2 linked regions of the Caenorhabditis elegans genome follow. The protein of the gene in region 1 interacts with the protein of each later gene in a biochemical or structural test. Each region holds a gene or a part of one and is shown on either strand. Other genes may lie near its edges.

Evidence for each region.
Region 2: of the proteins of ced-4 (region 1) and ced-3, one has a biochemical effect on the other in vitro, tested with the Caenorhabditis elegans proteins (4 studies listed by BioGRID, with this or other methods).

The regions. Positions count from the first base shown.
Region 1 is NC_003281.10:4,844,394-4,858,768, forward strand, and holds ced-4 (Cell death protein 4), read left to right. Parts: upstream 1-7,931; coding exon 7,932-8,382; intron 8,383-8,433; coding exon 8,434-8,527; intron 8,528-8,572; coding exon 8,573-8,660; coding exon of another isoform or gene 8,661-8,662; intron 8,663-8,780; coding exon 8,781-8,915; intron 8,916-8,965; coding exon 8,966-9,303; intron 9,304-9,860; coding exon 9,861-10,136; intron 10,137-10,184; coding exon 10,185-10,290; intron 10,291-10,336; coding exon 10,337-10,564; downstream 10,565-14,375. Other genes in the region: clec-157 (C-type lectin domain-containing protein), read right to left, coding at 1-17; Putative forkhead-related transcription factor fkh-5, read left to right, coding at 269-876, 1,055-1,266, 1,588-2,153; nonu-1 (Smr domain-containing protein), read right to left, coding at 2,679-2,833, 2,882-3,177, 3,233-3,599, 3,935-4,221, 4,271-4,457, 4,511-4,704, 4,877-4,987, 5,036-5,201 and 1 more; F26A1.1 (Non-structural maintenance of chromosomes element 4), read left to right, coding at 6,145-6,147, 6,197-6,248, 6,295-6,363, 6,429-6,530, 6,584-7,092, 7,294-7,389; C35D10.8 (PH domain-containing protein), read left to right, coding at 10,943-10,947, 11,043-11,181, 11,227-11,340, 11,390-11,539, 11,587-11,679; C35D10.7 (ULP_PROTEASE domain-containing protein), read left to right, coding at 11,810-11,836, 12,466-12,948, 12,994-13,048, 13,273-13,970, 14,146-14,298, 14,354-14,375. UniProt on the Caenorhabditis elegans protein: Component of the egl-1, ced-9, ced-4 and ced-3 apoptotic signaling cascade required for the initiation of programmed cell death in cells fated to die during embryonic and postembryonic development.
Region 2 is NC_003282.8:13,194,448-13,211,969, reverse strand, and holds ced-3 (Cell death protein 3 subunit p17), read left to right. Parts: upstream 1-7,832; 5' UTR 7,833-7,903; coding exon 7,904-8,038; intron 8,039-8,101; coding exon 8,102-8,247; intron 8,248-8,525; coding exon 8,526-8,779; intron 8,780-9,967; coding exon 9,968-10,299; intron 10,300-11,211; coding exon 11,212-11,425; intron 11,426-11,479; coding exon 11,480-11,607; intron 11,608-11,680; exon of another isoform or gene 11,681-11,830; intron 11,831-11,961; coding exon 11,962-12,201; intron 12,202-12,677; coding exon 12,678-12,740; 3' UTR 12,741-13,709; downstream 13,710-17,522. Other genes in the region: cho-1 (High-affinity choline transporter 1), read left to right, coding at 1-42, 430-579, 1,901-2,011; C48D1.9 (VHS domain-containing protein), read left to right, coding at 2,304-2,310, 2,606-2,688, 2,736-2,806, 2,981-3,311, 3,692-3,775, 3,820-3,933, 4,494-4,502; C48D1.1 (Zer-1-like leucine-rich repeats region domain-containing protein), read left to right, coding at 14,588-14,645, 14,696-14,938, 15,288-15,412, 15,880-16,145, 16,262-16,425, 16,471-16,744, 17,076-17,522.

The sequences.
Region 1 (14,375 bases):
ACTTTCATGCTCCGCATTTTCAAAAATGGAAGAATACTGTTCTCTTCCATTCGAAATGCAAAGTCTTTTATAGGTGATAATAAAACTTTCCGGAAGAAACTTAAAAAATGGGAAAATGCAACACGATCTTTAAACCCAGCGTTGAGAGTTTTCATTGTGGCCAGTGAGACATTATTCGCTCATCGCGTATTAACTGTGGAAGCAATGGGGGGGGGGGGGGGGGGTTCTAATACGTCATTAAATTATATTCAATCTAAAGTCACTTACCATGCAATATGCCCTTACAGTTATTTTTCAATCAATACTCTTTGTCCAATGTCAGGTCGGAGAAGCGGCCTTCGTCATTTCCCAGGAGCATGAGGTCAGCAAAAGTATTTCAATCAATATGACATTATTTCCTTCAATAAAATGGATCATTCATAAGTCATTCTATCTGTACCTCACCTATTTTGTAATGTCCCAACAGACACTGCCATGTTTTCAGGCAGCTGATAGCTACAATTATTCTCATTCTCTACCAAAAGTCCAGTTTGCAAGGTTTTCAAAGTACACTCCTCAATCTATTTCTTATTCCTCTACTCAAATGTATCAACAAAAAGAATATTCTGATCATATAACCGAGATGACAAATGTGCACAAATCAAGAAAACGAAAGTTGATGGTAACAGAGGACCAATGGGGTTCACAAATCACTATTCCAAAAGTGATACAGAACAGACCGCTGATTGAAAAGTGGTTTGTTCAGAAAAGATTCAAGATGGTTAAAGTTCGGAATATCCAACGCCCTCAGTTGTCCTATCAACTTCTAAGTGCATTGACATGTCTTAATTCTCCAGATGGAATGATATCTACAACAGAAATTTATTCGTTCATTTTGTAAGTTCCCTTAATTTAATTCTTTCAAATGTATCACTGGATCATTCAGTCTAATTTTTTAATTTCGCGAGAGAATCAAAGTCGACCAATCAGCACTACGGCGTGGCCAATCTCTCTGATTGGCTGCCATCTTTCTTTCATTCACGAGCGAAGTATATATTTTCAATTAATTCTTCAGACATCACTGGCGTTATTATCGCTACGCAAATGAAAATTGGAAAAACTCGGTCCGTCATGTACTTTGCAAATGTCAATTATTTGATGTTCTACAAGTTGAAGGTTTATCGCGGAAGGGGAACGTTTATAAACTGAAAAGGCCCGACAATGTTGAGAAGGAAATGATCGATGTTAAAACTCTGGGTTGTATGCAAAAAGATTCGCGTGGAATTGGTAAGTAGGCAGGTCTTCCTACCTTTAAGGTCACTGCAAATTACTCGCTGCAAAGTTATTATTGAGGCGGTAGATTTTTCATTTATTCTTTTCATTTCAAAATAATTTTTTGTTAACTTCTGAAAATCTTCTGAAAAATTCAATTAAAAAACGATAAATGAACTTTTTCTCGACGAGACCCAACCGTATGAACCCGCGTGCCTTTGAGTTCGAGTTTGAGAAATAGCTGAACTATAGTACAATACAGAAAGACTCGAAATTCCTGAGAAAAATGTATATATTTTTAATGGTTGTACTTATTTTTAATTCTTTGATTTTCAGATTTCTACATCAAAATGCTCGCTGGCCAAATCGGTCTTCCTCGTCATCTCTTCTACAGTATTGTCGGAAATGAAATGCCAGAATACGCGGGACCAGAGAATTCAGCCATCTTCTATCATCTGCTTTCGATGCGGAAAATCATTCCAAAACTCGAGACACGATATTTCCTGGAGCATTGGCAAATGGAGCACAAGGCAACGGAGCCAATGTTTTTCGAAGAGTTTGTACCATATTCTACATCATTGGTGTCTTGTGTTGAGAACATTAGCTCATATGGTGAAGGTGTTGGTCCGGGAAATGATGAGCTATATGATTTGAGTGATAGGCAAATTATTTGTTTCCATAAGAATATCCGTGCTTATCATTCACTTCAAAAAAGATGCCATAAAATGAATTATTCAAATTGGATGACTCCATCACTGATTTATGTCCAAGAAGCTGTGATGGACAAAGAAATTGTTGAAGATGATATCAGAAACGGCACAATCGAGTGTGAAGGTGTTGCCAGAAAAGAAGAAGCCAAGAAGAATTTCCAGGATCCAGCTCTGATTTCGATCTATAATTAAAATTCGAAATCGTCATTAATAACTCTAATAAAGTGATTTCAATAAAAGAAAGTTTTATATTATTATTATCATAATTGATTAAAACAGGAAAAGTACACGAAAAAGGCATCTGGTGGGAACAAGTAGATCGCAAATGATCACAGCAGTGAGAAGAAAAAAGAAACCGAGTATAAAATTAACCTGAATGGCTGTGGGATATTGAAAGAGGTAGGATATAATGGGAGAAATACATAAAAGAAAAATTTAAAACGCAAATTTCAACGCGGAAATTTGAAAAAAAATTGAGATCGGTGAAGGGTAAAGTCATGGAATGGGGGAAATGGTGAGGAAATATTGGAAAGAAAATACATTATTTGGATGGTTTCTTGAGGGGCATTGTGATAGATACCGTATTCTCTCAATACCTACTGCAGAGGCATAAGAAACCACCGTAACTTATTACAAATTCAACTTTTAACTTTCTTGAGTGCATTTCAAAAAATACAGCGCAAAGAAAAGCAGAGATATTTGAGAGAATACGGTATGCTAGACTTTGAATCTTATACATCCATCATTCACGAGTTCATAATTATAATCATTGTGCTGCAGCATTGCCAAAACTTGAGGTTTAATCTTGGCTCCACATTTCGAATTATTACCAGATCCAGTTACCACAGTGATTCGTCTATCAAGGTTTCTAGCTAAAAAATATGAATATTTTTGGCACAAAATATTTCAAAAAATATTACCAGCTTTCAAATGATATTTGACTGCTTCAATCGCTTCTTTCACAAGTTTAACTGCTCCATCAACTGACATGTAATGTAAATCAAGAAACCATGGATTGTTGTGGGCTTCTCGAATTTTCCGATCAAGTTCTTTCACTTCCGATGATTTTTCAATTTTCATTCGTGACGCTCGATCGACAATTATCAATTGGCGATATTTCGCAGCAGCCATCGAATTAGAAGATGTGATGCGATCTGCTTCGATTTTCTGTCGAGTTCTAATGGCAAGCAATTGGATTTCTTCCAATTGGGAATGTCTGAAAATGCGAAATGTTAGAATTTTCATTTTTAAATGTTTACAAACTGGCTAACCTTCCACTTCTTTTCTTTAGGAAATGATTTTCCTCTTCTTTCTTCGATTTTTTCGGCAACGAAAGACGAAGTGGACTCGGTGAAGACGCAACTTTTTTACTCCATGTCGGTTTCGGTTTCAACTTCACCGCATATGTATTCTCTACTTCGCCATTACTCAAAAGAATTTCACGAGTAAAGTCCACTTTTCTACCAGCGATATTATACGCTTCACGGACTACTTTTTTATTAGTACCCGGAAATGATTCCTCTAGATTTGCAATGTTGAAATAATCCTCTTCGATCAAATCATTGTCTCCATTTTCGTCGTTCATTTCAGAGTGCAAGAGGAGTGCGATTTGTTCATCATTCTCGGTATCGGGATTATCTGAAAATAATTTTATATTAGGGAAAGGATTTTGAAATATTAAGTGACGTTTCTAAGGGGTTATGTCAAAAAAAAACTATGTTATTAAAATAACTCTTTTTTTAATTTAAAATCGATTGATTACAGGTTGGGGTGATTATACCCAAAAAAATAACTTTTAGATACGTACAATTTTGCGTACTTTAAAAATGTTTCCACAAATAGTTATGTTGATAGTTATGTTAATTAATAATTTTGTGCTGACTATAAACTTGAATCTCTGCGGTTTTTAATTTTTCTACATTCTGGAACAAGGAAAATTCGTAGTTATTTTCATTCGATTCTGCAAAACTTACACATTTCTTCCACAAACTTGAGTGCAAGTCTCTCAACTCTTCTAGCTTCAATTTCTTCTTCAATAGTCATATTTGAAACAGTGAAGCTCTCCAAAGCTTCAATCTCATCGAGAAGAATTCGTTCGTCAACTGGAATTTCTCCTTCAATGAATTCTTCGCCGAGATTATACATCAAATTGAACGTCTTCTCGAATCCAAGAACTTGAAGATAATGACGAAGCTCTATAATATCCATTTTACTGAACACGTGACGAAGCAATGAAAATGCGATTTCGTCAGATGTACCGCTGAAAATTGACTTCTCGAATTTTGTTTGAATTTTTGAAAAATACTTACACTAAAAGTTGAAGAGAAGGTTTGAAAACAGTTTCCCCATATTGAGATATCTCAAAACTCTCCGTTTCAGTTTTTCTTTCAACCATACGAACTGGTCCTTTCCAAATACTTGAAACATTATGTTCTTCACCAGAAAAAACACCACAATGTTTGAATACCGAATCAAAGCCTGCCAGTCCGTAGGTAACTGAAAATTGTTTTATTTTTAGTTGGATAGTTAAAAAAAGATTTTAAACTTACTACACTGAACGTCTACTTGAGTACCGACACTTCTCATTGATTTAACTTTGATTTCAGGAGTCATTGAGAATATTTGAGATAGTGAGGATGTGGATGAAGTTGTCGATTCTGTCAGTGATCCTTTATTGACTGAACTGATTGGTGATTTACACAGGACACTGGTAATCTCCGTATCGATGTGGAAATTTGAAATTCTGAAAATTGTATTTTTAATGTTCAAATTACACGCTTGCCAAATATATTAAAATTACGTGGTGCCAGAGTGTTCAACATGGTCAAAAGCGTGCCACATCACTATTCTATGGTTTAAAAAAACTTTAGATGAAAATGTGGGAAAGCCTGACACCAACTGAGCTTTTGGCTTACTTTACTGAAGCTTCTCCACCAATTACTAAATGTTCCCAGCCGAGTTGATTTTCTTTTAATTGCATGATTTTCGACTCGATAGACCCGATCTCTTCATCTTTTTCGCTTCTTCTGTAAAATGAAATATTTAGAAGAAAATTCAGGAATTAAAACTCAAACTTTTTGCATTCAATTGCATCGTGTCTCCAATCCGTGTCCGGCTCCAACACGAAAATTTCGTAGTGGCCATTAACCGCTAACTCTGCGAATTTTTTAACACTTGATCGTTGTACGTTCTCCTCGTCTACAACGATAAGATGTTTATCTTCATCGATAAATTTTCGCACTGAAATTAATTTTTATTATGTACACAAACAATGTTTAAATTAAATACCTGATCTTGTTATATTATTGGAAACATCGTTTTTCACAATAACGCCGTTTTCGGAATGGTTTACCAACTCTCGAGCTAATGTTGATTTTCCGGATCCCGTAACTCCGCGAATTAAAATAATTGTGCGATGACCTTCGACAAGGCATTTTTGAATATCCGATATCTCAGCATCGAAATTAAAACACTGTTCATGCTTTCGTGGTGACATTGTTGGCTGATCACTGAAAACTTTTTTTCATAAAACGAGTGATAGATTTTTAATAATGATTTTTCAGGCTTGCGTCGTCTATCACGTGAAATTGGGGAGAGCAAGACGCAGAGATGGAAAGAAAACTGGGTAGAAGTCACAATCCACGCACACTTCGTGAAGACATATGAATTGTGGAAAAGGACGTGTTAAAGCCCGTCCCCTTTTTCAAAATGAAAGTTATGAAAATGTGTCGAAGTTTCGACACATTTTTTTTTCGCGAAACAATGTTTTAATTATGAATAAAGAAGGAATCTGGGCGCAATATATACAAAGCCGGTTATTAGACACCAGAGCTTTATTGTTGCTTTCATTTTCTACCGATGGGTCTAAAATACAGGAAAAAGGAAAATAAAACATAAAAAAACCATTTCAAAATCATAAAGTTTACACTTTTAAATTCAAAAAATAAACAAAAATGTGTTTCTGTGCAAACACTCGACGGCTTATGGTACCAATGCACCTGATTTGACGACGATTGATATTCCCGGCAATTCGAATTGCAAAGCGGAGCAGCTTGCTCTTTGTTTGCTTCATTTAAATAATATTTTATAACTCTTCACTTTTTCTAACAATTACTTTTTATAAAACATTAAAGTTCCGATAAACATTTACAGCTGTCACTCAATTAACCTATAACAATCCTGGATGGTGAGAGACTAGTATTTTAAAACATTTTTAATTGAATATATTATTCCAGGACGTTGGAATTGCGAGTACATCTAACACAAACGATGTGGAGTTTGACGATGGTATATATTATTGATTAACATTCACATGATAATGGTTTTCTTTCAGATTTCATCCGACATGCTCGTCACATGCCGATCAATAAATTAATTGAAGAGCTGGCAATGTTGGAACACGGTAAACCAGCTGTCAAGATTATCTTTTATTGATTTTATTTTAATTATTAAATTTAAATGTTTCAGACAATCATCCACTTTTACATACTGCTCGCCGGAACTTCGATAAAGATAGAAAAGTCCAGAAGGATCGAATTGAGTGCCATCGCGCGAGAGCCGAACTAAAAGGTATCTTTTGAATTGTTGAAAACTTTGAAAAGCTCAAAATACAAATTCTTTAGCAAAAAATGATTTCAATACAAGAAGTGCCGCAGATCAAGCAGAATGCACATTGCGGTTAACGGAATTGCTAGACGAATTCACGAAAAGGAGTGATGAAATGGACAAAACAGTTTTGCATGAATACGGAGTCATCGATATTCATAAACAACAGTCAGCTCCGCCTGTGTTCGAGTCCAACAAGAAAACTCTGCGAGGACGTGGAGGAGGACAGCTTGTTGAGCCAGTCACTTACTTCAATTCAAATCAGAATACTCGAATACCTGAATTCAAGCTGAATTTGTCTTTCGAAAATCCGAGAATTCGACAAGAGTTGGATATTATTATGAATCGGCCGAATTCGCGTCGAATCATTGTCTGTTCGGTATCGATTCAGAAACCGAAACTTGTGATCGATAACAAGTCATTCAAACACGGCGAAGATGTCTATGCGTATAACAGAATATTTGGAGAAATGCTCGCAAAACTCGAAATTGTCACCGATAAAATGATTAACTTGAAAGGGGCTAATGTAAGTTATCTGATGTTTCTACAATTAAAAAAATTGTTTTTTTTTCCAAATTAATTTTCGAAGATTAACGAAAAACGATTAAAAATCAATAAAACGCAATAAAGAGGGCTTGGCTTTCTTTTTAATTTAAATTATAATTTTTCTGATTGTTGTATGAAGCTACAAAATGTACTGTTTTTGTATTTGAATATTGTATTACAGGGTTGGGATTCTCGGCAAATATCAGCGACAGTGGAAGATTTAGAAGAAGGACGTGTGACAATCACTAAGCAAAGAGGAAAGGATAAAGGATTGTGATATTTCACTGTTTTACTCATTCGCTTTTTAAATAAGAACTATATGCCGATTTGCCGATATATTTTTGTTTATTAGGCCTCTCACATTCCTGTACAATGTTTCTACCAAATAAACTGCATTTTTATCTGAAAATTCGAATTTATTTTTGTCTACTTTTTACTCGTTGCATTCGAGATCAGCATATCTTCCGGTCTATTTATATTCAACGATTTTTATAAATTAGTACTCCTTCATGTTTAATTTCATTTTATCTGTAAGCTTTACTGTATTTTTTTAAAATCTTTCTTGCTTCTATCTGATTATACAATGTTCTTTACTCATTTTCAAGGTATTTTTATGCCTCACAATTTATGCACATTTCGGGCTTGGAGATTTATCCTCTATATTACATGCCTGTTTTTTTAAAGTGTATATAATGTTTAACAAATAATTTTTTATCAATGCTATTGTATATTCTCCAGCTAACCGTTGTTTCGAAAACATCACCTAGCATTTTAAAATTCACAAAATCTTGCTTCCTTATAATCAAGAAGATTTTTCAGATGCTCTGCGAAATCGAATGCCGCGCTTTGAGCACGGCACACACGAGGCTCATCCACGACTTTGAACCACGTGACGCATTGACTTATTTAGAAGGCAAAAACATTTTCACAGAAGATCATTCTGAACTTATCAGTAAAATGTCAACTCGCCTCGAGAGGATCGCCAATTTTCTTCGAATCTATCGACGTCAAGCTTCTGAACTTGGACCACTCATCGACTTTTTCAACTACAACAATCAAAGTCACCTTGCTGATTTCCTCGAAGACTACATCGATTTTGCGATAAATGAGCCAGATCTACTTCGTCCAGTAGTGATTGCTCCACAATTTTCCCGACAAATGCTCGATAGGAAACTATTGCTTGGGAATGTTCCAAAACAAATGACATGCTATATTCGAGAGTATCACGTGGATCGAGTGATCAAAAAGCTCGACGAGATGTGTGATTTAGGTGAGAAAACTGGAAGCTCTCGTGTTTATTATAATCTTGCTTAAACTTCAGACTCCTTTTTTCTGTTTCTACACGGCCGAGCTGGATCCGGAAAATCAGTAATTGCATCACAAGCTCTTTCGAAATCTGACCAACTTATTGGAATGTGAGTGGTATTATCTGAATCCTACGGATCTTCATTCTATTACAGAAATTATGATTCAATCGTTTGGCTCAAAGATAGTGGAACAGCTCCAAAATCTACATTCGATTTATTTACGGATATTTTGCTGATGCTAAAGTGAGTGAATAGAGTGCATGTAACATTCAGCATGATTTTGAAATTATGAAAATTTGACCTGGTTAGCTTTTAATTTGATATTTCGTGACGCTTGCATGTTTTGTGTGTTTGAAGACGAGCCCGTGTTGTGAGCGACACGGATGACTCGCATTCGATCACCGACTTCATTAACCGTGTTCTTTCAAGAAGCGAAGACGATCTTCTCAATTTCCCATCGGTGGAGCATGTCACGTCAGTTGTACTCAAAAGGATGGTAAGTTGCTTGCCGATTCTGGTACAATATCTTAAATTATTGGTTTTTAGATCTGCAACGCACTCATTGATCGTCCAAATACTTTATTCGTATTTGATGACGTAGTTCAAGAAGAAACAATTCGTTGGGCTCAGGAGCTACGTCTTCGATGTCTTGTAACTACTCGTGACGTGGAAATATCAAATGCTGCTTCTCAAACATGCGAATTCATTGAAGTGACATCATTGGAAATCGATGAATGTTATGATTTTCTAGAAGCTTATGGAATGCCGATGCCTGTTGGAGAAAAAGAAGAAGATGTGCTTAATAAAACAATCGAACTAAGCAGTGGAAATCCAGCAACGCTTATGATGTTTTTCAAGTCTTGTGAACCGAAAACATTTGAAAAGTGAGTGGGACATACCAATTTGAGACTTTTAAAATAATTTATTCTACAATAAAAGTTAATCAAAAAGTTTCATAGCTGATTGTCTTTAAATTTTACGAATTGAGGATCAAAATCAAGAATTAGGATCCTGGCACGAGAGAAAACTGTGTAGCTACCGTACCCGAGAGATTTTCTTGATATTTGCCATCGATTTAATTTTTTAAGAAAATTATCGTTTTACATAATTGAACAAGAGATACACGGTCTCGACCCGACGGAAATTTTTTAAATGAAAGCGAGTATGAGCCTGTTTTCATTATTTTTCGATTTTCTCTTGTTGTTTCTTTTTATTTAAAGCCTTTTATTTTGAAACAAGTCTAAAAATATTAAAAACTGAATAAAATATTTAAAAAAAATCAAGTAAAATAGAAAAACAGCAAGGCTGGAGACTACTGTACTTCTTAAATCCGCATACTCTTTTTATTTAATCATTTTCCGGAATGTCGAAACGAAATAATACATTTTTAGTCCAAAATCGCTAGGTATATTCTTAAAATTATCAAACATTTTGCATTCAGAATGGCACAGCTTAATAACAAATTGGAAAGTCGAGGATTAGTCGGTGTTGAATGTATCACCCCTTACTCGTACAAGTCACTCGCAATGGCTCTTCAAAGATGTGTTGAAGTTTTGTCAGATGAGGATCGAAGTGCTCTTGCTTTCGCAGTTGTGATGCCTCCTGGAGTTGATATACCCGTCAAGCTATGGTCATGTGTTATTCCAGTTGATATTTGTTCAAATGAAGAAGAACAATTGGATGATGAAGTTGCGGATCGGTTGAAAAGACTCAGCAAGTATGAGTCTTGAAATTTGAAGATTTAAATTAACACTTAAAATTTCAGACGTGGAGCTCTTCTCAGTGGAAAACGAATGCCCGTTTTGACATTCAAAATTGATCATATTATCCATATGTTCTTGAAACACGTCGTTGATGCACAAACTATCGCCGTATGCTGAAAATGTCTCAACTTTCAATTAAATTTTAAATTTTCAGAATGGAATCTCAATTCTCGAGCAGCGTCTTCTTGAAATAGGAAACAATAATGTATCAGTACCGGAGCGACATATACCATCACATTTCCAAAAATTCCGTCGTTCATCAGCCAGTGAGATGTATCCAAAAACTACAGAAGAAACTGTGATCCGTCCTGAAGACTTCCCAAAGTTCATGCAATTGCACCAGAAATTCTATGACTCCCTCAAAAATTTTGCATGCTGTTAAAACCTATCGTGTACAATATTGCCTGTATATTCCCCTCGAAATACGTTTATACTTTTTCGCACGAGTTTTCTCATTTTTTCATTTGTACTTGTTTTATTTCTCTCCAAAATTTCAGATCTATCCCAAATGTTCTTAAATTTAATGTTTTCTACAGATACTCAACACATCTTGTTTCATCTCATCCTTGCTTTTTTTTTTCAAATATATTCAGTTTCTTTTATAATTTTAATTAATCGAATTAATACATTCACGTAAAGAATTTCGTGGACTATTATTTTATCGCATCCAAATGATTTATTCCCTATTGTTCGAAACTTCCAAATTGATCATTTTTAAACACGCCTCATTAAATTGAAAGTCGTACTTTTAGTCTCGAACATGAAGTAAGTTATTTTCTGTGTTCTAAATTCAAAGTGCATTCCAAAAGGACATTTGATGAGTTTTCACGAAAACCGTAATTTTTACAATTTCCTTTCAGTTTTGAAGATGTTCGATTTCTTTCCTCTGTTGGCGTCATTACTACATTTGCTTTGCTGCTTCACTTTATCGAGATTCTTGCCATCAATGGAGTTCCATCTAGACCGATAGCAGTCTTCATATCATTATCCCTGTATATTGTACTGTTTCAGTATTTTAACTTATCGATTACGTACTATTTTCAGTGGTTCACTGTTTTCGGTCAATGGGTGACACGTGCTCGACGAGCAATTTTCAACGAACGCAATCTCCTAGTCACTTATCAACCAAGAGCCCTCACCCATGGACATCTCTTTGTGGTATTTGCATGATTCAACGAAGTTTTAGTCTTAAGATTCATGATTTCAGCCAGATCCGCCGACGCCTTGTCGTCTGTCCATTACACCATGTGAATCGGGAAGTGACACGGAGTTCAAGAATGCACGGGATGCTCATTACAAAGATGAATTTCATAGAGCGATTAAAATGGCAAACGAACGACTAGTAATTCGACAAGAGGTTCAAATATTATTTATTTACATTTTTAATACTGGAAATGCTTTCAGAGTACCCAAATCATGAGAATGGAATTCAATACTGATACAAGCTCGCCACCAACATCTCCGGACAAGTCAGAAAAATCACCCGAATTCTTCTAAGATTGACTTCAATAAAATTATTATTTTTCGTTTTGTTGTTAGATATACCATTTTAAACAGTTTCGGTCTGAAAATATCGGAATGTTGGTCTTCTTCTTTCATTCTTATTTACTATTTCAGGCGAGAAATCATGCACCAAAATAACGGAGATTATCGGGTAAATAATAATAAATGTTTACTAAAAGCTACAGTACTTTTGCATCCTTCAAGGGAGGTGCATTCATGCGGAAGAGTCTCGCAGCGAAAACGCGATAGCGCTTACTGTAGAATTTCAGTTTGGAAGATTCGAGTTTTTTGGGCCTCCATTTTTCCTTCTTTTATTGAATTTTCTCAGTTTCTTCGGCAAGGTTCATTAAGTACAGTTAGCCATCAATTTTTCTATTATTATGTTCATTCTGAATGAATGCACACGCTTTCGAAAAGAGATAAGAACATTTATTTCAATTACTCTGCAGGAAGGTAGAATCAATGCAAGTGAAAGCGCGCGAAACATGTGTTTTCAAAATCTATGACGAAATCTCTATGTTCTAGGTGTGGAAACCCGCAGTTTCTTTTAAACAAAAGTTAATATTGTTGTTTTATTAACACCCCCTTTGAAATTTAACTCGGTCTACCCATTTTCCTACACGACTTTGCTTCTTTTTGTTAATTTTTCTGATTTTTTAGCATTCAAGAGAGCCAGTTAACATTTTTAAAACTATTTGGTATCTATAGTTTTTTCCAAACAAATATTCTCATCGTGTAAAAAATTTTCTCATTGAATTCTAAAGCTTTGATGTTTTTCAGGTCAGAGGATCTCGTCCATCGAGAAGTTCTGAGCACGCCGGCCCTTCTCTCCACTGCAAGAAGCCCGAAGGTTCCATTAGAGATACTCTTCGACTGTCTGGCAGCTTCAAAATCTACAAAGAGCCTATGCCGGAACTGGTATGTGACATACACTTGGAAAAGCTTGCGGAAAACATCCAAAAGTATTCGAAAATCGAAGAAAGGAAATACAGAGAAAACGATATGCATGTGAATGACGATTCACATAGTTCCGATAGTAGACCCACATCGGATAATGAAGTTAGCTCGAGCTCTGACAGAAATAACGATGAACCAAGTGTGCGGAGAAAGAGAAAATCCGTCGAGAATATGTGTCATGAACGAGAGCACCACGGGGATCATTTACAGATGCAAGTAGCTTCAGTGATTGCATCGAACCTGGGACCCATGGTGGAGATTGTGGAAAAGAAGCTCTTGCAACACAAAAATGCGGAAAAACTTTTGGTAAGCAACTGGAGTAAACTTGATTACTGAATATTTCTTTTTCAGAACGATGGCCGGGAAGTTTTCATTAAAACGTTGGAGGAACATAATCAGAAAAAAGGTATTGTGATAATAATAACATTTATTTGTCTCTGTAATAGCTATAGTGGGTGTCAGATGCTTTACATATTTTTGATTAATTTCTTTAAAGGCTCATTGTAGGGAGACACTTTTATTTTGATGATAGGAACTTTTCACAGCACATGTGCCTTCCATGTAGCTTTAAAAAATATGTTTCCACTGATATATAATCTTCCGCACTTTTTTATCTAAAAATAATTTCAGAAAAGGTTGAAAGAAAGGCGAAGCTCGTAGCAATACCACCAATGAAAGCTAGAAACAGGAGGTCTTCACGCAATAGCTTGGTGTACATAGATGGTCCTTCTACTTCTGAAAGTCATTCTTCAATGGTTCAACAAGTTCCCATCATCGACAACATTCCCGAAGTGCTCGAAAATGAGACAGCTGTCTGTTCCATTTCTAGTGAAGCAGATCATAATTCGAGAGGAATCAAAGATAATCAAGAATTTGCAATTGAAATCAGTGGGGAAGTGTCTCGAACCGACGACATTTGTGATGACTTTGCCGTGTTCCTCAAAAAATGCACAGTACTATTGACGAAATTTATTGACTCCTACTATGATTTCCGTTCAACTATGAAACTTAAGCCAGAAGATGCCATTGAGCACTGGAGTGCTGAACGTTTGACCAAAGAGGAACACGCCGCGAGGGTCACAAGATTTGATGTGGCGATCGCTAGAGCGACACGTGTGCAGTATAACATCGATATCAAGCTTCTAACAAAGCAAAGTTTTGTGTTTGACGATGATCGTGAAGCTGCCATTAATAAGAGGCTCGCCCGAATCGAGCGTTTTGTGAACGAACAACATGAAGAAATCAATTGGTTTTGTTTTTCAAATTTTTCACTCATGGATATTGGAGAAACGAAGGATAGATATTGTCTCGGCGATTTTTATGACAAGGTATTACAACTTTTAAAATGTAAAATGGCCACGAAATACTGAATTTGATAACGAGACTGTTTCAAAAATTAATTTTTTTTTTTTTGAAGTCTTGTTGTAAAATTCGGTTTTTAGGGTCATTTTAACTATTGAAACAACACAAAAGTTTGATATATAATGTGTATTTTTTTCGCAGGCTATCAGTATGATTCCAAAAGTGAAAGATGTCCCGAGTGTGGTGCAACTGGCGAAAGAGTGTAAGATGTGGTCCGCATTTGAACGAATTCTCAAGCAATACAATTTTGAGCCGCTGAAAGTTTTTGAAGAATTGCAAAAAATGCTTGAAAAGGTACATTTCAGTTGTTCTGTTCGAATTTAAATGTTTACATAAAATTAATTTTCAGGATTATTTTCTACCGAAAGGTA
Region 2 (17,522 bases), on another chromosome or scaffold:
AGGACAACTGCTATGTTATCTTCAATGGCTACTATCTACATTGTAAGTTTTTTCTAGAGAACGGCCGTGTAAAAGTGTGAACCTATAAAACGGTCATTTGTAGATGTATGTAGGAAGTTTGTGTCAGGGGTGTGCGGCAAATTTGCCGAGTTTTCCGTTTGCCGAGCTCGACAAATTTCGAAATTTGCCGCGCCCATCAAAATATTGTCAATGCATTTTGACCAAAACTATTCATTTTGTCCCCAAAAATTTAGTAAAATGACCCAAAATTGGGCTATTCTGCCATGCAAAATCAGTTGAGAACTCTGCGTCTCAACTCCCGCATTTTTTGTAGATCTACGTAGATGAAGCTGAAGTGAGACACTCTGACACCACGTGATCTCTGAAATTTCAACTTCTTCGGAAAAAAAAACCCCCATCTTTTTGCAGGTATCAATACAATCGGAGAAGCTGTTCAAATCGGGACGTTTGTCTCCGGAGTGGGACGTAATGGGTTGTGTAGTGAATATTCCGATAGATCATGTACCCCTTCCGTCAGATGTATCGTTTGCTGTTAGTAGTGAGACCTTGAATATGAAGGTAGAGTGTGACGGAATGCAATTCCCCCAGTTTTTTTTATTTTGTATATTTTTAATAACTATTTTTCAACTTTAAGAAATTTGGACACATTTTGAATATTTTTTGACATAAAAATCTGATGCACTGGGTCCGTAATTCTACAGACCCAATGCATCAGATTTTACGAGCAAATTTTAAATTGGAATGCAGAAATTGTTTTTTTTTCACGTGTTTTTGGTAGAGGTTTTGAATGAAAAGTACACATTAGATGGATAAAATTGCCTCAAAATGCTGGAAATTGGGATAATTATTAATTTTCAAATAGGTGACCTTTGGTGGCCGTGAGAATGCAAAAACTCGGTCATCTCATGAAAATTGTGAATTTGCAAGGAAATTGTGGAAAACCCAGAGTTGGAAAAAATAATTTGCGAAATAAAATTTTACCGTATTTCTTCTATTAATATGGCTGCAATACTATTTTTCGAAGGTCTTCCCGCTTGCTATACTAATAGGGAGTGCAAGACTATTAGGGAGTGCAATACTAATTTTCAGAACATTTTTCTGTGTTGGGGCTTACTAGTATTTACTTGAAAAACTCCAACTTTAATTTGGAAATATAGAAAATTTGATTGAAATTGCAACAAAAAGGTACAATAAATTCAATCTCATAAAAATGTTCTCATAAATTGTTGCAAAATATTCAAAAAATGTTATTAAAATCTTAAAATTAGTAAGGAGGGTTTGCACCAAAAAAAAGTAGGTGCAAGAGTCATTGGGAGGCCATACTAATAGAAGATATACGGTATTTAAATTTTTTCGGAACAATTGAGACAAATTTTCAACAAATTCCAACAAAAATTAAAAACGTTTTTTTTTATTAAAAAAAAAAGAGAAAACTCGGCCACCAGTTTTTTTTGTTAAAATCTGTTTTTTTTACCAGTTTTTTCTTGAATTCCTTATCTATTTTTGGAACTTGATTTAGTTAAAAAAAAGTTTAAAAAAAGAAATAAAAAGAAAATTAAAATTACAGCACCCTTCCCTGGGAAAAGGTCTTGTGCGTCGTGGCCGTCTAAAATCGGTGGCCAAGTTTTTTCCTGACCATTTTGCACTTTTTTGGCTGAGGCGCCCCCCTAACGCCTCAAATTTAAAAATCCAAATTTCGAATTAATTTTTGCCTTTTCGACAGTGGTCGAGTTTTTTTTTTCACGGCTACCAAGTAAGTTCCCGGCCGCTCAAGTTTTCTGAACATTTTTCCACCTTTAAAGCAATTTTTGAGGCAAAGTTCAGTCTCCCCGATTTCTAAATTTCGAATTTTTGTTCCTAATTTCAAAACTCATTTCAGGCTCCAAACGGAACACCGGCTCCAGTACATCCGAACCAACAGCCGTCTGATGAAAATACATTATTACATCCATATTCGGACCAAAGTTATTATTCCACAAATAGCAATTAAAAGAGACGAACTTGTTCCACGTGTTCACTTAATTTCCTCCCAAATTTTTTTTTGTATTTTTTTTAGTTTTCGTTAACTTTTTTCTCACTTTCTCAAATTTCAGATCTCTATTAATAGACCCATCCGGTGGATACACTTTAGTTTTTATTTATTTTCCTAAAATTTGAAAGAAAAAAATTTGATGAATTTTGACATGTTCAGAAATTCCAATAAAAACGTGACCAATTAATTATTTTTGTTTAAATTTTTCTTTTTTCTTTTTTATTTTTCTTTATTTTTCGGTAAAAGTCTGATGGCAAGTGAGTTTTTGAAGCGGCGCTTTTGCTATGTGACCTAGAAAAAATGGGAGAAACTCGGTCACTCAATAAAATAAAAACGAATCTAAATCGCTGGCCGAGTTTTTCAATTTCCTAGGCAACGTAGGCGACGCCACTTTGTGTGATGGTGTTGTGAGACCCTTGCTAGGTGGCCGAACATGATAAAAACTCGGCCACGCTCGGCACGTTTGGGTTAATTTTTTAAAGCTGTTTTCACGAATTTGCGCATAATTCTTGATTTTCCAGTTTTTTTAAACTGTAAATTATGAATTTTCAGGTTCTTCGATAATTATCTTAATACTCTTCTCAGGTTTTACTGTCATCTCCTGCCAAAATGGTGACAACTGGGCAACTTGTGAAGTAAAAAATTCAGCGGTAGAAAAATCAATAAAATTAAAAATTTCCAGAAGTTTCCAAACGACTTTAAATGTTATGATTGGTGTATGCGATTGAATCGATATGCGGAGATTTATCTTGGGTTAGTGAATTCTGCGCGTCAAGTATGGTGCATCAGACCGTCTGTGGGTTTACGCGGCTTGTGTACTCCTCGAGGAGAACTCCAAATTGACTATTTTTATTTGAATTTCAAACGACCCAATGCTCCAAATCTTACGCGCAATTTGAAACTACACAAAATCTGTACAATTTGCAGAAACCGAGAACGCAGTGCCCGTCAATGGCAAGAAGTTGCAAAAATCGGGATAAGTTGCATGATACCAGCTGCTGTTGTATTATTCATTTGGATGAAAATCCGAAACTCCATTCGATTCCATCGCGAGAGTGTGAAGAGACGCAGACACGAGAGAAAGCTCAAGTTTTTGCAAACTAATCGAATTCGAGAGACAATTCTTGACCAGCCGACGAATGAGGAAATCGGGCAAGATTTGGCAAAACAATTCCCAATTCGAGAAGGAGTTATTTATAAGATGAAGATGCGGAAGGAATTGGAGAAAAAATATTTAGCTTTTAGAAGACTCAGATTGGTGGGGGCATTTCTAACTTTCGAAGCGATTTTGAAATTTTCGCCCCAAAACTACTGTACCCGGTCTCGACGCGACACATTTGTTGTTAATGCAAAAATTGTGTTCCTTTAAAGAGTGCTGTAGTTTCAAACAGGTTTTTCATAAAACGTTTTTCGATTAAAAAAACATAAAAAATTCTAAGAGAAAACTATGAAAAGTCTATGAATTTCCCGCAGAAAAAAACAATTTGAAACTACAGTACTTTTTAAAGGCGCACATCTGTATTCAACAAAAACATCGTGCCGAGACCTTTTGACGCAAAAATTGCCAAAGACTTAGTAATATTTACAGTTTACATCATATTTTACGCACAAGTTTAAAAAATTATTCAAAAAATTCAGACTCAAGAAATGAGCAATGGAGCATTGTTGCAAAAGAGTATGAATGACAAACTCGATTTACCGGAACAATTTACTGCACTTGAGGTATAGAAAATAGGAGCTTTCGAGCAAGAAAATTTGAATTTCAGCTGGTTTGTGACGCAGAGCAATCGATTGTGGAGGAAGCAAATTTTCACAAGGATCCGGAATTTGTCATTGGAAGTATTGCAATGGAATATGATATTGTTAAAATGGATTCGAAGGTAATCTCATTTCCTGTGACTTCACGCATGTTTTGTCCTAAAAAAGAAAGGTTGTACCTCCCACGTGGTGTCTCATTTCGGCTTGATGTATGTAGATCTACAAAAATTGCGGGAGAAGAGACACAGAGTTCTCAACTGGCTTTGAATGATTAAGAACTTGCTGACGTCACATTTTTTTTTGGGTAAAAAATTCCCGCATTTTTTATAGATCAAACCGTAATGGGACAGCCTGACACTACATTCAAAAATAGGAATTTTGGCTAGTACGGTAGATCTGCCAGATTATTGAAAAAAAAACATTTTATCGACTTTCCATTTACTATCCACTCAAAATCTTTTCTCGTACAAAAATATTACAAATCCGAAGAAAATTTTAGGAAAACATGATTCCACACTACAGTAGTCGTTAAAGTAGTCTAACACGAAGAAATTTTTCGTTCGCGTCGAGACCACGTACCGTAACTTTTTGAACTTTGCGAAATAGTTTTTTTTGCAACGACTAATAACGACTATAGGGAAAAAATCACTGTAGGAAGTTCAAAAAATTTGCCTTATTTCAGAGAAAATGACACGTCGAAGGAGAAGGATTTTTTTACTCTAATTATTTTTCTTACTTGTTGAAAAGAAATAAATAAATTTAATTTGTACCACGCGTGACCTTTTTAATTCAAATTCCGACAAAAAAAACCCACATGGGCCAAGGATGGTCAGTCTTAACTTTAGTGTTGATTGTGAGATTCGAAATTGCTCGTGACAAGATGAGACTTCTTCTTCTTCTTCTCCTTGCAACGATTTCAATGTCTGCCGCTGTAAATGAGGTAAGCTTTTAATTTCTAGACGTCTCTTTCTATATATATTTTGTTTTCAGTTTGAACTAACACTCAAACAACAGAGCACTTTATGACGGCACACTTCACAACTTGCTAAACTTTTTGTTCGTGGACACTGCAACGTACGCAGGCGTCGGTGAAAAACTTGAGTCAGCTTATCTCGAAATCGTTTGTTGATAAATAGTCAGGATTTTGTTTCAGATTCAATTTTGGAAAGTGCCGTGAGAACCGTGCGAAGAAGCTCATCTCGGGACATGGATATTTCATCGCTGAACATGGAAAAGGAGTGTGGGAGAACTTGTACTATCTTCCACGTAGCAACGGCGAGTATCTGTTCCTTCCACGTGCTTAGATGTGTGGGATTGATGGACGCGATATTTGATTTTTTGAAATTATTAAGTTCTGTTCTACAGAATTTTCAATAAAAAGTTTTCTTTGGCTCTTGCGTTACTTATGTTACTAATTAGTGTTATTTATATTATCAACAAGAATTAAAATTAAAATTTTAAGAAACATTGAAGCTTTGCATTAAAAATTTAAAACGTTTATTTTAATTCAATTTTTAAAATTTGGCTCACTGCGATTCTGCGTGAAATGTGATGTTTCTACAGTAACCCGTACAACCAAGGCATCGAACTTCACGACATTTACGAATTCAAATTTGAATTGCAAACTTTTTAATTTTATCGATTTTCTTTCTTTTTGAGCTTTATCAATAGCTCTAAGCGATTATTCAACAGAATTTCACTTTTTTACGCCTAAATGATTGAAAATTTGATAAAATATCAATAATTTACGGTTATCCTCTTCGTAATCTTCGCTTTCTTCCCAGAGTAGTGAAAATATCGACTTTTTGATAGAAACTGGATTTTTTAACTTCCCTGTTCGAAAAACTATTTTTCCTTAAATGAGATCTGAAATAAGGTGATAAATTAATAAATTAAGTGTATTTCTGAGGAAATTTGACTGTTTTAGCACAATTAATCTTGTTTCAGAAAAAAAGTCCAGTTTTCTAGATTTTTCCGTCTTATTGTCGAATTAATATCCCTATTATCACTTTTTCATGCTCATCCTCGAGCGGCAGCGTCTCAAAGAATTGTGAGAGCAAACGCGCTCCATTGACCTCCACACTCAGCCGCCAAAAACAAACGTTCGAACATTCGTGTGTTGTGCCTCCTTTTCCGTTATCTTGCAGTCATCTTTTGTCGTTTTTTTCTTTGTTCTTTTTGTTGAACGTGTTGCTAAGCAATTATTACATCAATTGAAGAAAAGGCTCGCCGATTTATTGTTGCCAGAAAGATTCTGAGATTCTCGAAGTCGATTTTATAATATTTAACCTTGGTTTTTGCATTGTTTCGTTTAAAAAAACCACTGTTTATGTGAAAAACGATTAGTTTACTAATAAAACTACTTTTAAACCTTTACCTTTACCTCACCGCTCCGTGTTCATGGCTCATAGATTTTCGATACTCAAATCCAAAAATAAATTTACGAGGGCAATTAATGTGAAACAAAAACAATCCTAAGATTTCCACATGTTTGACCTCTCCGGCACCTTCTTCCTTAGCCCCACCACTCCATCACCTCTTTGGCGGTGTTCTTCGAAACCCACTTAGGAAAGCAGTGTGTATCTCATTTGGTATGCTCTTTTCGATTTTATAGCTCTTTGTCGCAATTTCAATGCTTTAAACAATCCAAATCGCATTATATTTGTGCATGGAGGCAAATGACGGGGTTGGAATCTTAGATGAGATCAGGAGCTTTCAGGGTAAACGCCCGGTTCATTTTGTACCACATTTCATCATTTTCCTGTCGTCCTTGGTATCCTCAACTTGTCCCGGTTTTGTTTTCGGTACACTCTTCCGTGATGCCACCTGCTCCGTCTCAATTATCGTTTAGAAATGTGAACTGTCCAGATGGGTGACTCATATTGCTGCTGCTACAATCCACTTTCTTTTCTCATCGGCATGCTTACGAGCCCATCATAAACTTTTTTTTCCGCGAAATTTGCAATAAACCGGCCAAAAACTTTCTCCAAATTGTTACGCAATATATACAATCCATAAGAATATCTTCTCAATGTTTATGATTTCTTCGCAGCACTTTCTCTTCGTGTGCTAACATCTTATTTTTATAATATTTCCGCTAAAATTCCGATTTTTGAGTATTAATTTATCGTAAAATTATCATAATAGCACCGAAAACTACAAAAAATGGTAAAGTCTTTTAAATCGGCTCGACATTATCGTATTAAGGAATCACAAAATTCTGAGAATGCGTACTGCGCAACATATTTGACGCGCAAAATATCTCGTAGCGAAAACTACAGTAATTCTTTAAATGACTACTGTAGCGCTTGTGTCGATTTACGGGCTCAATTTTTGAAAATAATTTTTTTTTTCGAATTTTGACAACCCGTAAATCGTCACAAGCGCTACGGTAGTCATTTAAAGGATTACTGTAGTTCTAGCTACGAGATATTTTGCGCGCCAAATATGATGCGTAATACGCATTCTCTGAATTTTGTGTTTCCGTAATAATTTCACAAGATTTTGGCATTCCTCTTTAAAGGCGCACGGATTTATTCCAATGGGTCTCGGCACGCAAAAAGTTTGATAGACTTTTAAATTCTCCTTGCATTTTTAATTCAATTACTAAAATTTTCGTGAATTTTTCTGTTAAAATTTTTAAAATCAGTTTTCTAATATTTTCCAGGCTGACAAACAGAAACAAAAACACAACAAACATTTTAAAAATCAGTTTTCAAATTAAAAATAACGATTTCTCATTGAAAATTGTGTTTTATGTTTGCGAAAATAAAAGAGAACTGATTCAAAACAATTTTAACAAAAAAAAACCCCAAAATTCGCCAGAAATCAAGATAAAAAATTCAAGAGGGTCAAAATTTTCCGATTTTACTGACTTTCACCTTTTTTTTCGTAGTTCAGTGCAGTTGTTGGAGTTTTTGACGAAAACTAGGAAAAAAATCGATAAAAATTACTCAAATCGAGCTGAATTTTGAGGACAATGTTTAAAAAAAAACACTATTTTTCCAATAATTTCACTCATTTTCAGACTAAATCGAAAATCAAATCGTACTCTGACTACGGGTCAGTAGAGAGGTCAACCATCAGCCGAAGATGATGCGTCAAGATAGAAGGAGCTTGCTAGAGAGGAACATTATGATGTTCTCTAGTCATCTAAAAGTCGATGAAATTCTCGAAGTTCTCATCGCAAAACAAGTGTTGAATAGTGATAATGGAGATATGATTAATGTGAGTTTTTAATCGAATAATAATTTTAAAAAAAAATTGATAATATAAAGAATATTTTTGCAGTCATGTGGAACGGTTCGCGAGAAGAGACGGGAGATCGTGAAAGCAGTGCAACGACGGGGAGATGTGGCGTTCGACGCGTTTTATGATGCTCTTCGCTCTACGGGACACGAAGGACTTGCTGAAGTTCTTGAACCTCTCGCCAGATCGTAGGTTTTTAAAGTTCGGCGCAAAAGCAAGGGTCTCACGGAAAAAGAGGCGGATCGTAATTTTGCAACCCACCGGCACGGTTTTTTCCTCCGAAAATCGGAAATTATGCACTTTCCCAAATATTTGAAGTGAAATATATTTTATTTACTGAAAGCTCGAGTGATTATTTATTTTTTAACACTAATTTTCGTGGCGCAAAAGGCCATTTTGTAGATTTGCCGAAAATACTTGTCACACACACACACACACATCTCCTTCAAATATCCCTTTTTTCCAGTGTTGACTCGAATGCTGTCGAATTCGAGTGTCCAATGTCACCGGCAAGCCATCGTCGGAGCCGCGCATTGAGCCCCGCCGGCTACACTTCACCGACCCGAGTTCACCGTGACAGCGTCTCTTCAGTGTCATCATTCACTTCTTATCAGGATATCTACTCAAGAGCAAGATCTCGTTCTCGATCGCGTGCACTTCATTCATCGGATCGACACAATTATTCATCTCCTCCAGTCAACGCATTTCCCAGCCAACCTTGTATGTTGATGCGAACACTAAATTCTGAGAATGCGCATTACTCAACATATTTGACGCGCAAAATATCTCGTAGCGAAAAATACAGTAACCCTTTAAATGACTATTGTAGTGTCGATTTACGGGCTCGATTTTCGAAACGAATATATGCTCGAATTGTGACAACGAATTTTAATTTGTCATTTTTGTGTTTTCTTTTGATATTTTTGATCAATTAATAAATTATTTCCGTAAACAGACACCAGCGCTACAGTACTCTTTTAAAGAGTTACAGTAGTTTTCGCTTCAAGATATTTTGAAAAGAATTTTAAACATTTTGAAAAAAAATCATCTAACATGTGCCAAAACGCTTTTTTCAAGTTTCGCAGATTTTTTGATTTTTTTCATTCAAGATATGCTTATTAACACATATAATTATCATTAATGTGAATATCTTGTAGAAATTTTGGTTTTCGTTCTAGTATGCTCTACTTTTGAAATTGCTCAACGAAAAAATCATGTGGTTGTTCATATGATGACGAAAAATGCATTTTTTATATATTTTCCCCTATTCATGTGTGCAGAAAAATGTAAAAAAGCGCATGCATTTTTCGACATTTTTTACATCGAACGACAGCTCACTTCACATGCTGAAGACGAGAGACGCGGAGAAATACCACACATCTTTCTGCGTCTCTCGTCTTCAGCATGTGAAATGGGATGTCGGTCGATGTAAAAAAATGTCGAATAATGTAAAAAATGCATGCGTTTTTTTACACTTTTCTGCACAAATGAATAGGGGGAAAATGTATTAAAATACATTTTTTGTATTTTTCAACATCACATGATTAACCCCATTATTTTTTCGTTGAGCAACTTAAAAAGTAGAGAATATTAGAGCGAAAACCAAAATTTCTTCAAGATATTACCTTTATTGATAATTATAGATGTTAATAAGCATATCTTGAATGAAAGTCAGCAAAAATATGTGCGAAACACCTGAAAAAAATCAAAAATTCTGCGAAAATTGAAAAAATGCATTAAAATACATTTTTGCATTTTTCTACATCACATGAATGTAGAAAATTAAAAGGGAAATCAAAATTTCTAGAGGATATAATTGAATGAAACATTGCGAAATTAAAATGTGCGAAACGTCAAAAAAGAGGAAATTTGGGTATCAAAATCGATCCTAAAACCAACACATTTCAGCATCCGCCAACTCTTCATTCACCGGATGCTCTTCTCTCGGATACAGTTCAAGTCGTAATCGCTCATTCAGCAAAGCTTCTGGACCAACTCAATACATATTCCATGAAGAGGATATGAACTTTGTCGATGCACCAACCATAAGCCGTGTTTTCGACGAGAAAACCATGTACAGAAACTTCTCGAGTCCTCGTGGAATGTGCCTCATCATAAATAATGAACACTTTGAGCAGATGCCAACACGGAATGGTACCAAGGCCGACAAGGACAATCTTACCAATTTGTTCAGATGCATGGGCTATACGGTTATTTGCAAGGACAATCTGACGGGAAGGGTACGGCGAAATTATATTACCCAAACGCGAAATTTTTGCCATTTTTGCGCCGAAAATGTGGCGCCCGGTCTCGACACGACAATTTGTGTTAAATGCAAAAATGTATAATTTTGCAAAAAACAAAATTTTGAACTTCCGCGAAAATGATTTACCTAGTTTCGAAATTTTCGTTTTTTCCGGCTACATTATGTGTTTTTTCTTAGTTTTTCTATAATATTTGATGTAAAAAACCGTTTGTAAATTTTCAGACAATTTTCCGCATACAAAACTTGATAGCACGAAATCAATTTTCTGAATTTTCAAAATTATCCAAAAATGCACAATTTAAAATTTGTGAAAATTGGCAAACGGTGTTTCAATATGAAATGTATTTTTAAAAACTTTAAAAACCACTCCGGAAAAGCAATAAAAATCAAAACAACGTCACAATTCAAATTCAAAAGTTATTCATCCGATTTGTTTATTTTTGCAAAATTTGAAAAAATCATGAAGGATTTAGAAAAGTTTTATAACATTTTTTCTAGATTTTTCAAAATTTTTTTTAACAAATCGAGAAAAAGAGAATGAAAAATCGATTTTAAAAATATCCACAGCAACGAGAGTTTGAAATTACAGTACTCCTTAAAGGCGCACACCCCATTTGCATTGACCAAAAATTTGTCGTGTCGAGACCAGGTACCGTAGTTTTTGTCGCAAAAATTGCACCATTGGACAATAAACCTTCCTAATCACCAAAAAGTAAAATTGAAATCTTCGAAAAGCCAAAAAATTCAAAAAAAAAGTCGAATTTCGATTTTTTTTTTGGTTTTTTGGTCCCAAAAACCAAAAAATCAATTTTTCGTCAAAATACCAAAAGAAACCCAAAAAATTTCCCAGCCTTGTTCCTAATGTAAACTGATATTTAATTTCCAGGGAATGCTCCTGACAATTCGAGACTTTGCCAAACACGAATCACACGGAGATTCTGCGATACTCGTGATTCTATCACACGGAGAAGAGAATGTGATTATTGGAGTTGATGATATACCGATTAGTACACACGAGATATATGATCTTCTCAACGCGGCAAATGCTCCCCGTCTGGCGAATAAGCCGAAAATCGTTTTTGTGCAGGCTTGTCGAGGCGGTTCGTTTTTTATTTTAATTTTAATATAAATATTTTAAATAAATTCATTTTCAGAACGTCGTGACAATGGATTCCCAGTCTTGGATTCTGTCGACGGAGTTCCTGCATTTCTTCGTCGTGGATGGGACAATCGAGACGGGCCATTGTTCAATTTTCTTGGATGTGTGCGGCCGCAAGTTCAGGTTGCAATTTAATTTCTTGAATGAGAATATTCCTTCAAAAAATCTAAAATAGATTTTTATTCCAGAAAGTCCGACGAAAAAATTGCGATATAATTACGAAATTTGTGATAAAATGACAAACCAATCAGCATCGTCGATCTCCGCCCACTTCATCGGATTGGTTTGAAAGTGGGCGGAGTGAATTGCTGATTGGTCGCAGTTTTCAGTTTAGAGGGAATTTAAAAATCGCCTTTTCGAAAATTAAAAATTGATTTTTTCAATTTTTTCGAAAAATATTCCGATTATTTTATATTCTTTGGAGCGAAAGCCCCGTCCTGTAAACATTTTTAAATGATAATTAATAAATTTTTGCAGCAAGTGTGGAGAAAGAAGCCGAGCCAAGCTGACATTCTGATTGCATACGCAACGACAGCTCAATATGTTTCGTGGAGAAACAGTGCTCGTGGATCATGGTTCATTCAAGCCGTCTGTGAAGTGTTCTCGACACACGCAAAGGATATGGATGTTGTTGAGCTGCTGACTGAAGTCAATAAGAAGGTCGCTTGTGGATTTCAGACATCACAGGGATCGAATATTTTGAAACAGATGCCAGAGGTACTTGAACAACAATCGATCTGCTAACTTTTTAAGGCACAGAAAAATAGGCAGAGCGTCCTTTTGCAAGCCTGCCGCGCGTCAACCTAGAATTTTAGTTTTTAGCTAAAATGATTGATTTTGAATATTTTATGCTAATTTTTTTGCGTTAAATTTTGAAATAGTCACTATTTATCGGGTTTCCAGTAAAAAATGTTTATTAGCCATTGGATTTTACTGAAAACGAAAATTTGTAGTTTTTCAACGAAATTTATCGATTTTTAAATGTAAAAAAAAATAGCGAAAATACATCAACATCAAGCATTTAAGCCAAAAATTGTTAACTCATTTAAAAAATTAATTCAAAGTTGTCCACGAGTATTACACGGTTGGCGCGCGGCAAGTTTGCAAAACGACGCTCCGCCTCTTTTTCTGTGCGGCTTGAAAACAAGGGTATCGGTTTTAGATTTTTCCCCAAAATTTAAATTAAATTTCAGATGACATCCCGCCTGCTCAAAAAGTTCTACTTTTGGCCGGAAGCACGAAACTCTGCCGTCTAAAATTCACTCGTGATTCATTGCCCAATTGATAATTGTCTGTATCTTCTCCCCCAGTTCTCTTTCGCCCAATTAGTTTAAAACCATGTGTATATTGTTATCCTATACTCATTTCACTTTATCATTCTATCATTTCTCTTCCCATTTTCACACATTTCCATTTCTCTACGATAATCTAAAATTATGACGTTTGTGTCTCGAACGCATAATAATTTTAATAACTCGTTTTGAATTTGATTAGTTGTTGTGCCCAGTATATATGTATGTACTATGCTTCTATCAACAAAATAGTTTCATAGATCATCACCCCAACCCCACCAACCTACCGTACCATATTCATTTTTGCCGGGAATCAATTTCGATTAATTTTAACCTATTTTTTCGCCACAAAAAATCTAATATTTGAATTAACGAATAGCATTCCCATCTCTCCCCGTGCCGGAATGCCTCCCGGCCTTTTAAAGTTCGGAACATTTGGCCAATTATGTATAAAATTTTGTAGGTCCCCCCCATCATTTCCCGCCCATCATCTCAAATTGCATTCTTTTTTCGCCGTGATATCCCGATTCTGGTCAGCAAAGATCTTTCTCATAGCCCATTCCATTCGAGCTTTCTAATAGGAATTTGAAAATTTTCGAAATTCCAGTAAATAATATTGGAAAATGGATTTTTCGAGTTTTCAGCAACACAAATTTACTTGAAACCCCATTTTCCAAAATTTCAATTTTTTCAAATTTCCCGCTATCTTCCAAAATACTCTTGTACGTTTATTATATTTCCCTCGTTTTTCTTCGATTCCTCCTCTCCGCGCACCCAATAAGTTTTATATATGTTGAGATTTATATAGCTTGTTATTATAATTATATATTTATAGATTATTATAGTTGCTTTTCTCGCCGTATGTTTGTGTGTGTGTGATTGGTATACATAGATAAAAGAAAACAAGGTGTTAACAAAACAAAGGTGAAAAATAATCAACAATTAAAGAAGGAAACAAGCTAATATAAAATTTCGCACATATATGATATGCAAGCTTCTGACAATTCCCTAGTGAGTACTACAGATTAAGAATATGTGCACAAAAATTAAAGGCTGAATTTAAGCTTCTCAAACCTCCCAGATTACAAATATTACGGGAACATATAATTCTGAGCATGCGTACTGTGCAACATACTTGACGCGCAAAATATCTCGTAGCGAAAACTACAGTAATTCTATAAATGACTACAGTAGCTCTTGTATCGATTTACGGGCTCGAATTTCAAAATGAATTAAAATAATTTATTTGTCGATGGAATATTAAAATTAAGCAAAACATGAGAAAATAATACGAAATAACCAAGGGAAAAATGAGAAGTTGCTGTCACTATTCAAAAAGTCCCTCATTTCGAAAATGGGGACCGTAAATCGACACAAGCGGTACAGTAGTCACTTAAAATAATTACTGTAGTTTTCGCTACGAGATAGCTTGCGCGTCAAAAATGTTGCCGAGTACGCATTCTCAGAATTGTTTGTTCCCGTAATATAATTTTCTAAATGTACGTCCTTATATTATATTCTCAAAGTGCAAGAAGTCATTAGAAGTTATAATATATGAAATTTTTATCAGATTTCATATTTCAGTTTTTGAAACAATATTATGTAAACTCAAAATTTATCTGACCTCAAACATTCATGACTGTTCCCACTTTCTCATTCCCACGAGGTGCAATGATAGAGCTACATTAGAGACAGGTGTTCATAGGACCATACTATTTGCTCGCAATCCTCGATTGTTCACCCTTTCTTGTTTTTTCATTCTCTTTCGTTCTGTAAGATAGCACTTCTCTATTTTCTGGTTATTCCAAACAATGACCAAGCCTCTTCATGACATTGCCTGCCAAAAAATTGCCGAATTCGTTCAAAATGGTTAGTTTTTTGGAGATTTATCTCAATCTTACACTAAAGTATTTTTACAGGTTCATACGATAACAGAGAATTTGAACTTGATTCCAAATCGAGTAACATTGTTTATTCATATTTAATGAATCGAGATAAACCATTCAATTTAAAAACCATCCATAAACTGAACGTAACAAAAGTTACACTACACCCCCAGACACTGGATGAGAACACTGCAAGGCAACTGAAACAATTCTCGTTGAAAGAATTGAAAATTGGAAATTTTTCTAAATCTAAAAGTTGGTGCATATTTAGAAGAAGTAAGTTATTACGAGCAATAGATACATTTTTTCATTTTGTTTAGAATCAGATGTTTCACGGGTTTCTGGCTGGGCCCCTCGGTGTATTTTGTGCAAACACCGTCACGCGCAAACATATGTTCCATACACGATAAAGGCCATTCAGTTATCGATTGTTCCATTCAATTTACAGAATTTTCAAAAAAAAATTAGAAATTTCGAATGGAAAATCTTAATAAAACCTTTAAAAAACGTTGAAGTAGTGGAAAAGTTCTAAAAGAATTAATGATATTTGGTAAAAGGCTTTATACATCGAACATTTTTTATACAAAGAAAAATCAATTTCTGTAATAATCCCTCAATTTTTTAGAAGAAACCCGTCATGTTGATATTGTCCGCATTTTGGAAGCTGTTCTGAACGAGGAAACCCGTAAAAATCTTCAGTACTTACACATCGAAAAAGATCAAAAACTAATGAAAAGATGGACTGCAAAGGTATTAAGTTATCTTAACATATAATGTTTTAACTAGGTGAAACTGTTTTTCACACACTTCCCGTCACACAAAGGGTTCGCGACAACGCGAAATTTATGTGTTTAAACGAAGTGACGTTATTGGTCTACGGCAATCTACGGCTATTGGCCCATATTTTCAAATGAGTTTTAGAATTTATTGCGCTCCAAATGTTAGCATCAAGAGTGCCAATTTTTTTTAATTTTTGGAAAATCGAAAAACAAATAACAATGTTTGGAAAAAAAAACCGATTCTTTGACAAATATTTTCAAATTTAGACAATTTTCTTCCTCTCCAGAAGAAAAGTGTATGTTTTCTTATGTTTTTTTTAAATAATCATCAACATAAACGACACTTTATAGAATGTAAATAATTTTTGGTAACTTTCTAAACGATTTTTTCAATTTTTTAAAATATTCTCTGAAAAAAACCGCACCATTATTTTTCAGATTGGAAACATGTTACCATCACTAACACATTTAACTATGAGCGATGTTCATATCAATGAAGATGATTTCTATCAACTTTTCGGTAATTTTTCAAATCTTCGGTCATTGGATATCAGTGGAACCAATATCTTAAACATTGCCGGTATTTCGAGATTAAAACAACTGGAAGTGCTCGCTCTGAGAGATTTTTCAATTGCCACATATACGGAGCTTAAAGATTTATTTAACTTAAAACACCTGAGGGTCTTGGATGTATCACAAACAAGGTAAGTAAACTTTTTAAAAACTGTAGCTATATAGTCAACGATTCGAATTCAATCTTGCTAAATGTTTCTTTTAACTTTTCTCTTGCATTATCTTTCTAATTGTTATTTTCATTCAGATTTAATCTCCATTCTAGAAATAATATTGTCGAGCAGTTCACAGAATGTAAAATGGAATTACCAGAGTTAAGATTCATGGATTGTACCAGAACCTCGTTGAGCGGTGACATTTTAGAGTGTTTACTAAAAACGCAACGTAATCTTCAGTTAGTTACAACAATAAGTACGATGTGCAGTTTTGCAGTTTCAATACCAAATATCATTTCAGTGACTGAAGCGGAAACATCACAATATAATGATGTTCGGGTTTTGAATACTGCATACTTTCATAAATCTGTTCAAGCTCTAGTTTACTGTTTAACTGCAAGAAAAGAATTTGACAGTGGATACTGTATGAAAGCAATCAGAATTTCAATCTCTGAAGATAACTTGCAAAATCTCAATATTCCTTCATGTATAAAAACAATTGTAAAATCAATGCAAACGTTTGATTCAATATCTGTTACGCAAAATGGGCTCAAGTGTTTGATAATATTCGGAATGTAAGTCGAAATTTTTTCTTCGAAAACTTGATAATTCTTCGCGCCTTTCTAACCAAATTTATTTTTTCATTTACTTGAGCAATAAAGACACGTTTTATAAATTATAGTAACCACTTCTTAAAAGTATATGAATATGGTTAACATCAGTTAAGACTTTTTACTATTTTTCAATTAAAAAAAAACGCTTCTAAACAGGTCAAAGATAATTAAATTATCATGTTTCACGCTAAATGTGGAACTCAAAACTATGAAAGCTATACACTTTCAAGAAAAAGCAAACCAACATTTTAATTACGAAAATAAACACAAATTGAATATAATCAACTTTCAGGCTCTATTCCAACCAACTGTGTTCAAACGGAGTGACGTTATTGGTTGAAGCTTTAATGAGCTTCGTTTATTTGTACAAAAGGATGATTTCAGAAGCATACGTAAAAGTCAATATTTCCTACTGGAATGCCGTCGAGAAACTTGTAAATTTGAAATTGGGAAAACTCGATTTTGATAAAATAAGCAAAACCGCTATGAGTTTTCTATTAGAGAATCGAGTAAGCAAGGCTCTTCGTACCAGAGCATCAAGTGTTTTGTGCCAGTGCATACATAGAATGCATTCTGATGAATTAAAATCTCTATCTGAAAAAACTGAGAATGTGAATCGATTAGTCGATATACTGGAATGGAGTGTAGGACAGAAAAATGAAACGAAGCTTTCGGAATTTTTTGAAATCACTATCAAAATGACTGAAAAAAGTTCAAAGGCTTGTACCAACATGATACA